Linked DNA regions of Sus scrofa. The protein of the gene in region 1 interacts with the protein of each later gene in a biochemical or structural test. Links are inferred from orthologs where the notes say so. Each region holds a gene or a part of one and is shown on either strand. Other genes may lie near its edges.

What was found.
Region 2: the proteins of NOTCH1 (region 1) and NUMB form a complex in vitro, tested with the Homo sapiens proteins (2 studies listed by BioGRID). The link is inferred for Sus scrofa from reciprocal best matches to the Homo sapiens genes NOTCH1 and NUMB.
Region 3: the proteins of NOTCH1 (region 1) and MAML1 form a complex in vitro, tested with the Homo sapiens proteins (2 studies listed by BioGRID). The link is inferred for Sus scrofa from reciprocal best matches to the Homo sapiens genes NOTCH1 and MAML1.

What each region holds. Positions count from the first base shown.
Region 1 is NW_018084833.1:1,208,398-1,212,140, reverse strand, and holds the start of NOTCH1 (neurogenic locus notch homolog protein 1), read right to left. Parts: upstream 2,851-3,743; 5' UTR 2,581-2,850; coding exon 2,520-2,580; intron 830-2,519; coding exon 748-829; intron 1-747. UniProt on the Homo sapiens protein: Functions as a receptor for membrane-bound ligands Jagged-1 (JAG1), Jagged-2 (JAG2) and Delta-1 (DLL1) to regulate cell-fate determination.
Region 2 is NC_010449.5:96,796,462-96,800,204, reverse strand, and holds the start of NUMB (protein numb homolog), read left to right. Parts: upstream 1-1,514; 5' UTR 1,515-1,743; intron 1,744-3,743. UniProt on the Homo sapiens protein: Regulates clathrin-mediated receptor endocytosis. Plays a role in the process of neurogenesis.
Region 3 is NC_010444.4:78,873,859-78,877,601, forward strand, and holds the start of MAML1 (mastermind-like protein 1), read right to left. Parts: upstream 2,776-3,743; 5' UTR 2,474-2,775; coding exon 2,159-2,473; intron 1-2,158. UniProt on the Homo sapiens protein: Acts as a transcriptional coactivator for NOTCH proteins. Has been shown to amplify NOTCH-induced transcription of HES1. Enhances phosphorylation and proteolytic turnover of the NOTCH intracellular domain in the nucleus through interaction with CDK8.

The DNA.
Region 1 (3,743 bases):
AGGTTCACAGGCAGGCGGCAGCAGATTTTAACCGGATTCCTCGGCCAAGGCGGGGAAAACCGGGGCAGACCTCGAGTCACAGCTGAGGACCCAGGGCTGGGACGGCGCAGGGCCAGCCGTTAGGAGGTCAGGGCTGCAGATGCCAGGACAGAAGGCGAGCTCCTGGCAGGTGCTGCCACCCGCCATGGCAATGAGCACCGCCAGTCGGATGAGTCCCAGCCTCACGCCCCCAACCTCACCTGAGGCCGGAGAGGAGTGGAGAGGAGGGCAGCGGGCTGAGGAGGGGGGGCTTGGCTTCGAAACAGTCCGTTTCTTTTGGGCCTCACCTGCCCAGAGGAAGCAGCACCTGCCCAAAAGAGGGGCCCACAGGTGGCAGGGTGGTGAGGCTGGGCCTCTCGACAGAGGCTCCCGAGCCTCCCCGGCAGGTCTGTGGTTTCTCAGGACCGTGAGGAAGAAACAGGGACCAGGGACCCCCACCTGGCACCCCGGGAGCCTGCAGTGGCCCACAGAGGAGCGCGCAAACCTCCAGCGGCCAGACCCGCTCCGCGTGCAGCATAATTGCTGGTGATTAAGTAATTGCCAGACTTTGTCCAATAAAAGTAGCACGTGACCGCGCCCAGCCTTCTGGGCCATCTCCAGAAGACAATGGGCCAGTGTTCGGTGGCTGCGGCCTTGCTGCAGAAGGCAGGGGCTCTGCTCACCCCCCCCCCCAACGCAACAGGTCCCCGCAGGGGTGCGAATACTCACACGCAGGCCTCCGTGCCGTTGGGGAGTCCTTCGCACTTCCCGCCATTCAGGCAGGCCTCGCTGGGCTGGGAACACCGCAGGCCTGGGGAGAGGCAAGAGGAGAGGTCAGCCGGCCAGCCCCAGCAAGGGCCCACCCCAGGGACCTCCGGACATGGGGCTGTGGGGGGGCGGGGGCCCCCGGAAGCCCGGCCTGAACCCTGGAGGGCTTCATCATTCCGCCCAGAGTCCTGGGGCCAGAAATGCGGGGGAGGGCTGGCTGGCGGGCAGGTGGACAGGTCCCGCTCCAGGCGGAGCGGGGTGGCCTGGAATGCCTGGAGGCCAGCAGTGGAGACAGCCGGGATGAGCCGGGCCGCTCTCCCGAACTTCTCACTCCCTCCCTGTCCTCCCTGGGGACCCGAGCCAACCGCTAGGATCATCTTGCTGTTCAAACAAGTTCTTCGAGGGGACGGCGCGCAGGGGGGGGGTGGCCACACTCAGCTCCCCCGCTCGTGGGAAAATGCGACAGCTGCAAAGCCCGCTGCCCCGCCCGCCAACAAAGCGCCGGCAGAGGAATCAGAGCAGCCCATTGTCAGGCCAGGGCGCCTCCTGGGGCACCGGGACTGCACCCCAGGGACCTGGCCCCGCCTCCGCAGACACCCAATTCCAGCTCCCCAGGGTGGGCATCTTCAGCGGCAGCCCCCTCCACCCCTCCCAGGAGGGGGGATGAAGATGCTCCATTTGCCAGGAATTGGACCCCCCTCTCGGGAAGGGGTCAATTAATTAAGCCCCTTCCTCTCCATCTTACCAGGGCAGGTAAATTAAGCTCCTCTCCCGGAGGGGAGGGTGTGTGTAGATCGAGGGTGACAAGGAACCCTATTTTCTGGAAGCGCCGGAGTCATTCTCCCTCCAACTTTTAGGGGAAGAGCAAGATCAAACCCCATCGGATTCCTCCGAGAGCCTAAGTGAGCCGAGAGGACTAAGCGCCCCCTCCCAAACGCTGCAAGCTTTCCAAACTTGAACTCCACAAAGCGAAAGTCCCGCCGGAGGCAGCCAGTCTTCAGCACGCACACCCATCCCCCCAAATAACCGTGAGCCGGGCTGAGCGCAGGGACCGGTGTGGGGAGGAGACACCGCGGGCGGGGCGGCCGGGAGCCCGGGGACCCCGGGGTCCGTGGCCCTCGCCCCAGCCCCGAGCGAACGCTCGCCACCGAGAAGGAGGCCGGGCCCGCCGGGCCCGCCCCGCTCCCCTCTGCCCACCACGCCCCGCAGCCGCCGGCACCGGCCGTGCGGCTCCTAACGACGAACGCGGCGCCCGGGACCCCACGCTCCGCGCCCCAACATCCGCCCCCGCCGCGGGCAAGAGGCGAAGAAAGAAGATAAATGGCCTCAAAGCAACAGGAAACCAAAACTGGCTCGATTCAAAACGAAAAGTAGTAGGCAGCTCTCCCGCCCGCCCGCCCTGGCGGCGAGCCCCACGCGCGACTGGCGAAGGGCGAGCCCAGGGCTGGGTCTCCCGGGCCCCCAACGGCCCATGCCGGCCTTCAAACCCGATTTTAAACCCGTCCCCAAACTCGGTTCCAGGCGCGAGCAGCGCGATTCCGCCCCATGGGGCAGGCGACGCGAGGAAGGGTCAGCCTTTCTCCCCGAGTCCACGACTCCGGCCCCCACTCCGCCCCGGGTCGCCCGCCCCCCCCCTCCCCCGGCCGCCTGCTCCCAGCCACCCGGGGCGCGCGCGTAGGGTGCCGCCAAAAGTTTCCGAAGGCGCGGAAAGTTGCGGGCTCGCGGGCGCCTACCTCGTGCGGCGAGCGCGGGCAGCAGCGCCAGGCAGAGCAGGGGCGCCAGGAGCGGCGGCATGCCTGCCCGCCGGCTGCCCGCTGCACCCGGTGGTGGCCTCCTGTGCCCGGCCGGCTGGCCTCGGGCGTACACTCGCGCGCCGGACCGTCCCACGGGCGGCGGCGGCCTGCTATTGCCCTCTCCTTGCTGGCAGGGGGGCGACACTGAGCTCTCGGGGCCTCCCCGGCCCGGCTCCGCGCCCGGGATAGCTCCTCCGCTGCGCTCCCGCCCGCGCCCCGCGCCCAGCACCCAGAGGCCCGCGCCCCTGCGCTCCCTCCCACGGCCAAGGCACTAGTGAGGCGCTGGGGCGCCGTGCGCTCCGCCCCCGGCCCGCCGGCCCCGCCCCTGGGTCCCGCCCCCGCCGATGCCTCCGATCCCTCCGCACCCCTCGCCCCCTCGCTGGCCGCGCCCCTCCGCGCGCCTGGACCGGCCCCGCGCCTGCTCTGGCTGGGGCGCGCTTCCCGAGCCGGGGCCTCCGCGGTTGGGGGCCATGGCGCTTCGGGACCCCGTCAGCGCCCGGCCCTAGGGACTACTTCTCTGTCGAAAGTTTTCGGAGGCCAAAAGTTTGGTGCGAGGCCGCGGAAGGATCCGGCTCTGGGTGCCGCCGCGCTCGGCGACAATTGGCAACGATTTGCATCTCAATAGCGGAGGAGGCGCGGGCAGAGCAGGGAAAGGGGGGGCCGAGCAGGGAAAGGGGAGCCCGGGGCAGGCCATGCCCGGCGAGGAGCTGGGCTGGGGCAGGTGGAGAGGAGCGGCCGATGCCCAGTCTGGGGGCTTGTGGGACGGGGGCTCTGCGTGAAGTAGCGCCCTCGGCAGCCGTGGGTGCCCCCCTCGTCCAATGCAGGAGCTCCGCGGTCGCAGCTTTAAAGCCTTCGAGAGACCAAGCCCAGACTCCGGGCTGTTCTGAAGGCCGGGCACTTGACCCTGAGGCATGGTGGCACCGGGGCTGCGGCCTCCGAAAAGGGGGCTCTGGGTGCCCCCCAAAGGAAGTCTGGGGCCAATGCGTGGCTAGCTCCCTCAGGAGAGACTTGCCTCTAGACTCCTTGGTCACTGTCCTACCTCTCAGCCCAAGGTGCCCTGCAAAGCGCGCGCGCGGGTCAAGCGGACCTGTTGCCCTCGCTCTTGCAGCCCTGGGCCCCTCCCACGGGCTCCTTCCGGATTTCTTTCTGCGCGGCTGTGCCAGA
Region 2 (3,743 bases), on another chromosome or scaffold:
GCTTTTCCACTTTCCTTTTACAGGCTTTTTATGAGTCATTGAATTGAAGGGGAGGTTATTTCTAAATTGGAAGGTGAAGATGAGAGAAGGGGGAGGAAAGTTCCGGAAAATAACTAGGAAAAGACATCTTATTGTTACGTAGAGTTGCTGGAGGAATAATTTCCTCTTAGTTTGGTGATGGAAGTATGTAGTTTATTTAAACGTGACTAAAAATATATGTTAGAAAATAGACAATTTTGAGGGAGATAACAAACCATGCAGTTTTAGACTTCTTATTGCTTGCTGGCAAAGGAAAGAAGGGTAAATAGAAGAAATATGGAACAAAGAGTTAGCAGGAAGAAGTAAGGAGCAAAGTCCAGATTCTTGGTTCCACAGCAAGTCCCCAACCATAAAGTGCTGTTTAAGAGGGAAGTACATCCTCAACCTGTTCCAGTCCATCCTTGAGTATGTTTCATGACCCATGGGGTTTATGTTATAGGTGGAATTGTGAGGAGGGTACATTTAAATCTGATTTAGAAACTGAAAGGGTAATTAGGTGAGCATTTTGTTATTTATGAACAGGCAGAGTGGGCAGAAATGAAAAAGAAAAGCAAAAAGCTAATGGTGGATATATTTCTAGGAGTACAAGAGTTTTTATAGCAACACCAGATTTCTCAAAAGTGCCTACTGTGATTTGTACCCAAATGAATAAAAAATGCAATCATTTATTCTTGTACATTGTGCCATGTGAGAAAAGAACTGCAATTCATTCAATGGTCTTAATTTAGACTGCTGGGAAGAGAGGTTCAGAAAAAAAGACAAGCTTTTAAAGTATCTGACACACATCTAGTAGGGCTATTTAAGAACTGCTGAGCATAGAAAGCAAGTTACGGGGAGCTGAATTCTCCTTTTCAGAGCATCACAAGGGTAAAATGTGGCCCATATAGTCCAAACTTGCTGATGGTTGCCTGGTCCCTTGCAGGAGACATCCAGCGCTGCGTCTGAAAGCTGCAGAACTCTCAACATACCACTTCAATTCATTAACGACGTTTATAACTGCAACCAAAGTGGACTAACTTCAGTGGTGGTTCTTTGCCCTTTAGCATGGAGATGAACTTTAAGGTAACTGAGCACCTTAGGACTTCAAGCGAAGAGGAGGAAATTTTCATCTACGTGCTTTTCTTTCAAGAAGCCGCTAATGAGTCTTTAAACGCCAACTCTGATGTTGCTGTTGGTAAGTACTGCCCTCTGGGTGAGCAGGCAGTGGTAAGTTTCTCCTTACAGAGAGGAAGTTGGAGAAAGGGATGTTTACAGAGTCAATTTTACAACAAAGAGTTAACCTTTCCCCTCCGACAATAAGCGCCTGCCCCTTCCTTGCTTTCTACTGCGCAACCAAACTGCCCAAGCTCGAACCAACAGTCGCCGCCACATCCCTTGCAGGTTGATTTAATAGACACTTTCTGCAGCCTATCAGGATTTCGAACTGCCCAACCGTCAACCAATTACAACTAAAGCTGGGCTTGGGACGGTCCAGGTCCGGGAGGGGGCTAATACCGGGTCCAGGAAAAGGGGCGGTAAGGAAGCTATGACGGACGGGTAAACTAAGCCAATAAGAGCAGAGAGCTGTATCACCACTATCCAATGGAGAGGTAGGAAGTGTGAAACGGGGTGGGCCTGTTGTCATGGGGGAGGTGGTGGCGCTTGGTGGCTGCCGGCGGCCGAGGTAGAGGCAGTGGCGCTGGAGTTGGTCGAGGATAGCGGCAGGTGAGTGCCTGTAACGCGGGCCTGAAGGCTGAGGGCCATCTCCGAGCGAAAACTCCAGCTCGGTCATCCGGAGGCGGAGGCCTGCGGAAGGGGGCCTGGGCTGCAGGCCGGGTCGGGCCCGGGCCGGGGCCAGGGCGGGGGCGGTGGCCGCGAGTTCGCGCTGACTGGGCTAGTGCGAGAACCGCCCGGCTCCCGGCGGCGGAGTTCGCGCTGGCAAGGTAGGCTGGGGCCGGACTCAAGCGAGTTGGGCCGGGAGCTTCCTTGGGACGCCCAGCCAGCCGCTCGGGTCTGGGGCACTGACTGGCTGCGGGTGTGTGAGGGGTAGGTCCGTAGGGAGACGGGAGCGACTGGGCTCCTAGAGAGGGGATGGCGGGTTACGACTTGGTCCGAGGGCAGGGTGACTCGGGAATACCCAGGACAGCTTCGGAGCGAGGAAAAAGTGGAAACAGGGAATCCCGGGAGCGGCCCGAGCGGAGAAAGCCGGGGAGGGGCTCGGGGGGCCGTAGACTGGGAGTGGCTTGGGTTCGAGAGAGAAGAGAGACCGAGGGAGGTCGGGGTCCAGGGTACTGGGAGCAGCCGGGGTCGGAGAAAGGGCGTCTAGGAAAGACAGGGAGGGGGCTGAGCACCCTCCTGAGAAGGGCGGCTGTCCGAGGGAGAAGCGCTCTTGGACTGTTACGGATCTTCGGAGGGTCTGACCCATGGAGATCTTGAACAAGTTAGGAACCGGAGCGCCCTGCCCCCCACCGCTGGTCTGGGATGGAAGATCCTAGATCAGACTGGGAACTCCTGGGTCTGAGGATCCACAAGAGATCAGGGGAAAAAAAATCCTCATGGGGGTAGCTTGGGTTTGACGTCAGGGTGAGGGGTCTAGCTGAGGAGTGGAAGTTCTCTCAGCTGGAGTTAAATCAAGGAAAATGATACGGGTAGGCGGGGAAAAGTAGTTTCCTTGTAGGAAGGGAGTAGAAGATAGGGCGTAGTAGGAAGGAGCCAGAAAGTTGCCCAGGAAGCGTGGTCTTGTGGAAACTGGCCAGAACCGTAGATATGAGAAATTAACATAGGGCCCTTAATAGGTTGTAAGGACCTAAGAAATAGAAGTTTCAGCTTCACAATACTAAGATGCCATCTAGGATCAGAGAAAGTGTTTTAAGAGCAAGGTTGTGACTCGCATTCCATTGCTTTAGAAATTTGTTTTAGGACGACAGCAATAATGCTAGAAAATAAGGACGTTGGCAGGATGGGAGATTTGAATGGGAAAAGGAGTAGCCGAGATAAAGGAGTAGGACTGCGGACTTGATCAGCAAGAGGAGGGGCATGAAGAGGACAGACTTACTTATGTCAATTTAAAAATAAGTTTGAATTCTAGTTCCACCACCTAGCTTCGACAACTTAACCTCTCTCTGTGCTGAAGTTTCATCTGTATAATAGAGTTCCTACTTTTAAGGGTTGTTTTCTCATGTGAGTTAATGTTTTGTGGAACTTTTAGGCTGATGACTGGCACAGAGTAAGCACTGTGTACTGGATTATCAAATGTGTAGAAGATAAAGGAAGACCTGAATTCCTTAATGCGGTTGTTCTCAAACTTTGATTTGCACCAGAATCACCTGGAGGACTTGTTAAACAGCAGTCTGCTAGCTCTACTGATTCAGTTAGGGCTGGGTTTGGGTCTGAGAATTTGCATTTATCTCAGGTGATGCTTGTATTGGTCAGGGGACCACACTTCAAGAACCTCTTGCTTTTTTGAAAAGAGTAATAATACCAACCTTAAAATACCTGTCTGCCCTGCTAGGGATGAGTAGAAGCAACTTGCAAAAGAAAAAACCCAAAAACCTAATATAAGAGAAACCCTGTCCTAAGTCTATGTTTTTCAAACTGTAGATTATGATTCATTAGTAATTTATAAAATCAATTTAGTGGTCTTACCACCAGTTTTGAAAATGAAATTAAATAGAAAAGAATTGACTAGCATTTCACATGGTAATGGAAAATATTGTTTTGGGAAA
Region 3 (3,743 bases), on another chromosome or scaffold:
GGTGGAAGAGCCTAAGAAGGGGAAAAAATAACCAGAGGGTGAACTCTATTAGTAAATTTCATTTGTACAAATGGTTCATTGATGATAACTTTGCTATGAAAGGCTGCCTAAGAGTACTGAAGAACATTTGGAAAAAAACAATAATATTCCTTATGTAAGGATTATTAATTAGATCAAATATAAATTCTGACTTGTCAAAAATAACAATGACTAAGAGGTAATTTCTCCTCTCCATCTCTCTGGGCAAAGCTGTGCTCCTTCCAAGCCAAAATCCTACCCAGGTAAGGACTCTCTCCCCCTCTGAACTGAAGGAGCCACCAAAATGGAAAATGCCACTGTGTTCTTAATGACACTGATCTTCCCTTCCTAAAAACCCACTCCAAGGCTAAAGAGCTCCCCTAGAATCACTTGGAGACTGAAGTGAAAAGGGTCCCTCTTCCTAGCAGGGAAAAGAAAGAGCACTTCCATTCTAAAGTTTAAACTCATGAAACCCATAGGTCAAGGTTTAATGTGATAAGACATCAACCTAACATGGCATACCTGATAACCCAAAGGAATGATGACAGGCCAGACTCAAGTTCTAACACACTGAGAATTAATTTCTCTTCAAACAGCATGCCAAATTTCTCTCCAGTAGTTTAGGACTAAAAATACCATTGAGGATCTAAACTCTCACCCTCTTTAAACAAACAGAATCACTACTAATATACTCTCTAGGGGGTGTTCAAAGCAGCTATTTGTGTGTAAAACTGAGATTTGTAGAGCTTTCATTATTTACTTACACTGCAATGATCACCCACAACTTACAAGTCTTTCCTTCAACTCCTCCCTGCATCCCAAGGTTTACAGTCTGGTTTACAAGACGTGATCTAAAGCAGTATGTGACTTGGTGTTTAAAATAAATAGCACGGACAATACATTTCCTAAATGTTTTGACAAGATTCTAACTGCTGTGGGGTAGGGTGGATGAGAACTGGCTTTAAAGAGAAGATGAGCTGGACCTCAAGAATGGCAGAATTCTGAAAAGGTGACGGGGGAGAGTGTGGCAGGCAGCCTTTCCAAGTTGATGAAATATTTTCATATGCACACTCATTTCTTTTGAATCGTAAGAATCCTAGAGGATAAGAAACCAAACACATCCTCAGTTTACAGACAAGAAAAATGAGGAGGAGAAAATTTGACTCTATTAGATTTGATAACAATACACAATGAAACATCCATCATCCCAGGCTAGTGTGGGAGAGAATAAGGAAAATAATTCAACCAGCGCATAGGACCTGTGAGGGACATATCATTTAAAGGTTAAGAGACTAAACACCTAAAGACTAGTTAGGGAGGAGTACTGCAACAGGCCAGGTGAAAGGTAATAAAGGCATGAATTAAAAAATACACATTACAAATTAAATTGGTAACATTTGTTCTAAACTCCACATTACCCAGAAAGCAACAACAACAAAACCTGTTTTATCAATTTCAGGGAGGAAAACTTCTAACCAACAAATTTCCCGAATATCTACTGAGAACCCAAAGGGAACAATAATTTACCGACGAAACTTAACACCGTCAGAGATTTTAAACAGGCTTATAATTAAAACTGGAATTGTCCACAATATTGCTGGAATCACAAATACACAAACTTCGGAATTCCCTAAACAAAGAATACTTTTGTGCCACGCAATGAGCAGTACTATGCCTTCACTAAGATTTCCAGATTCTCGGATTTTCCATTCAGAACAGTTTGATCTGGTCAACTAAAGTTCGTCTTATTCTCATATTTAAGCCCTGACGCTGCAAAGAGCAAGGACCCAATGGACATTTACAGAGTAAATGAAGCCACTCTCAAAGGCAACTTTAATACCAGTCTGTTCCAAAAGTAAACTACTCATAATTTCGGAATCAAGTCTGGAAGAAAAACCTTTCAACGATGGTTCGCCAACCTTCCCGGCCGGAGCCTTAACGTAAGGTCCTTGGGGTCGTGTTTTCCCAAAGTAATGCCACAGTGCCATTTCCCGCAGATGACAACTGCTCAGTCCCTGCCATATTAGCCTCCCCCGAGCCAGACCCGACGAATTAAGGGCACTGGGGAAGTCTCAAAGGGCCCCAGGAGGCGTCGGGGCAGAGTCTCCCAGGAAGGGGAGGCTCCCCGAGCCCTACTCACCGCGACAGGGCGGCCGTGCTCCGGACCGTCAGTGACGTCGAGGCGGGGGGCCGGGGCAGGCGCCGGGGCCGGGGCCGGGGCAGGCGGCTGCCGGTGCTTGCCGGCGCGTTTGGCCTTGGCCTGGATGCAGCGCTGGTGTAGGGCGAAGGTGTGCTGGCGTTCGAGCTCCAGACGCTCGGGCGACACGGCCTCGTAGCGGGCCTCGCAGGTGCTGTGGTGGCGCCGACACAGCTCGATGCGCCGGCGGAGGCGCTCCATGACCGCGCTGTGCCGCGGCAGCGCAAACTCCGCCATGGGGCAGGTGGGCAGCACCATGGGCCGCGGGCTGCACGGGCCGGGCCCAAGTCGGGCCTCTCGGGGCCGGCTGGCACTGTGGGCTCCGCTCCCCGCCCGTGGCCCGGCCGCCTTATGGCCACGCCATGACCCCGAGAGCTGTGCAGCGGGCTCGAGCGCGGCGGCGGGTCTTGCTCCGGCCCCGCTCGGCCCAACCGGGGCAGGCGTTCGCTGCCCACCTCAGGCCTCGGCCTGTCCCCGCCGCCCCGAACCCATTGTTTTCCGCGCCGCCGCCGCCGCCATCTTAAAATTGTTTTCAGGGCTCTCGGAAGAGGGCAGGGCCCCGGCAAGCTACCCCGGCGTCACGGCTGATGAACAGGGATTGCAGCCAATCAGAGAAGAAAGAGTGGGCGGCCCGAGGGGCGGGCACGAGCACGCAAGAAGCGCGCTAGGGCTCCCGTGCGGAGTTTAAAAGGAACTCTCTAGTGAGAGGCAGAGGGTAGCAGCTGGGCGGGCTTCGGGCCTGGGTTCCAGCCAACTGAGACCGCCTGGAGCCGGCCCTAACACCGCCTCATGCGGAGAGGCCCTTCCGGGTCCGCAGAGGAAAGAGGGGCAGGCCTAACTGGCTAAACCCAGACGCCCGCCTGGCACTCCTTCAGCCTCTTTAAATTCGGCTTTGATGAGCTCTCAAGTAAGCCATGCTTTTTCCAGCTGGTTTTCTTCCCTCACTCATTACATTCAGCCTCACAATTGGTCAGAATCGTACACGAGTGAGCTGAAAAGGTTTGTTTCCTCTTGCACTATTCTGAATCATCGAGACTATCATCTCCCTTTATATGTCTTAACAGATTTCACAAGTTCAACTACCACTTTAAAAAAAAAATCCCTAGTAGATATGAAGAGAGAAAGGAGTCTAGCTCTTTCTTTGCGGGGTGGTGGTGGTGGTGGGAGAATAGAACTGCAAAGGATGATCCTTAAGTAAACACACATACACCCACCCAATCAGGGAGCCTAGCCTGCAAACTCTTTAAAAAATATATTTTAAAGATTTTAAAAAGTTTTAAAGCTTGTTAGGTAAAACAGAGTCACTCAACAAAATCCGACTAAAGACAACTGCACTCTAGTATTATAACCAGTACGTAAAGAGAATGGGAGACTGTAGGGAAAAAACAGGAGCAATGAAACAGATAGTCTGTGGTGTTGGGCCAAGTTAACTAGAAACAGGTATTGGCACCCTGATTGCTAAAAAGTTAAATAGGAGGTGCCAAAATGAGAAACGTCAATAATAGCTCAAACATGTTACACTTTTTAC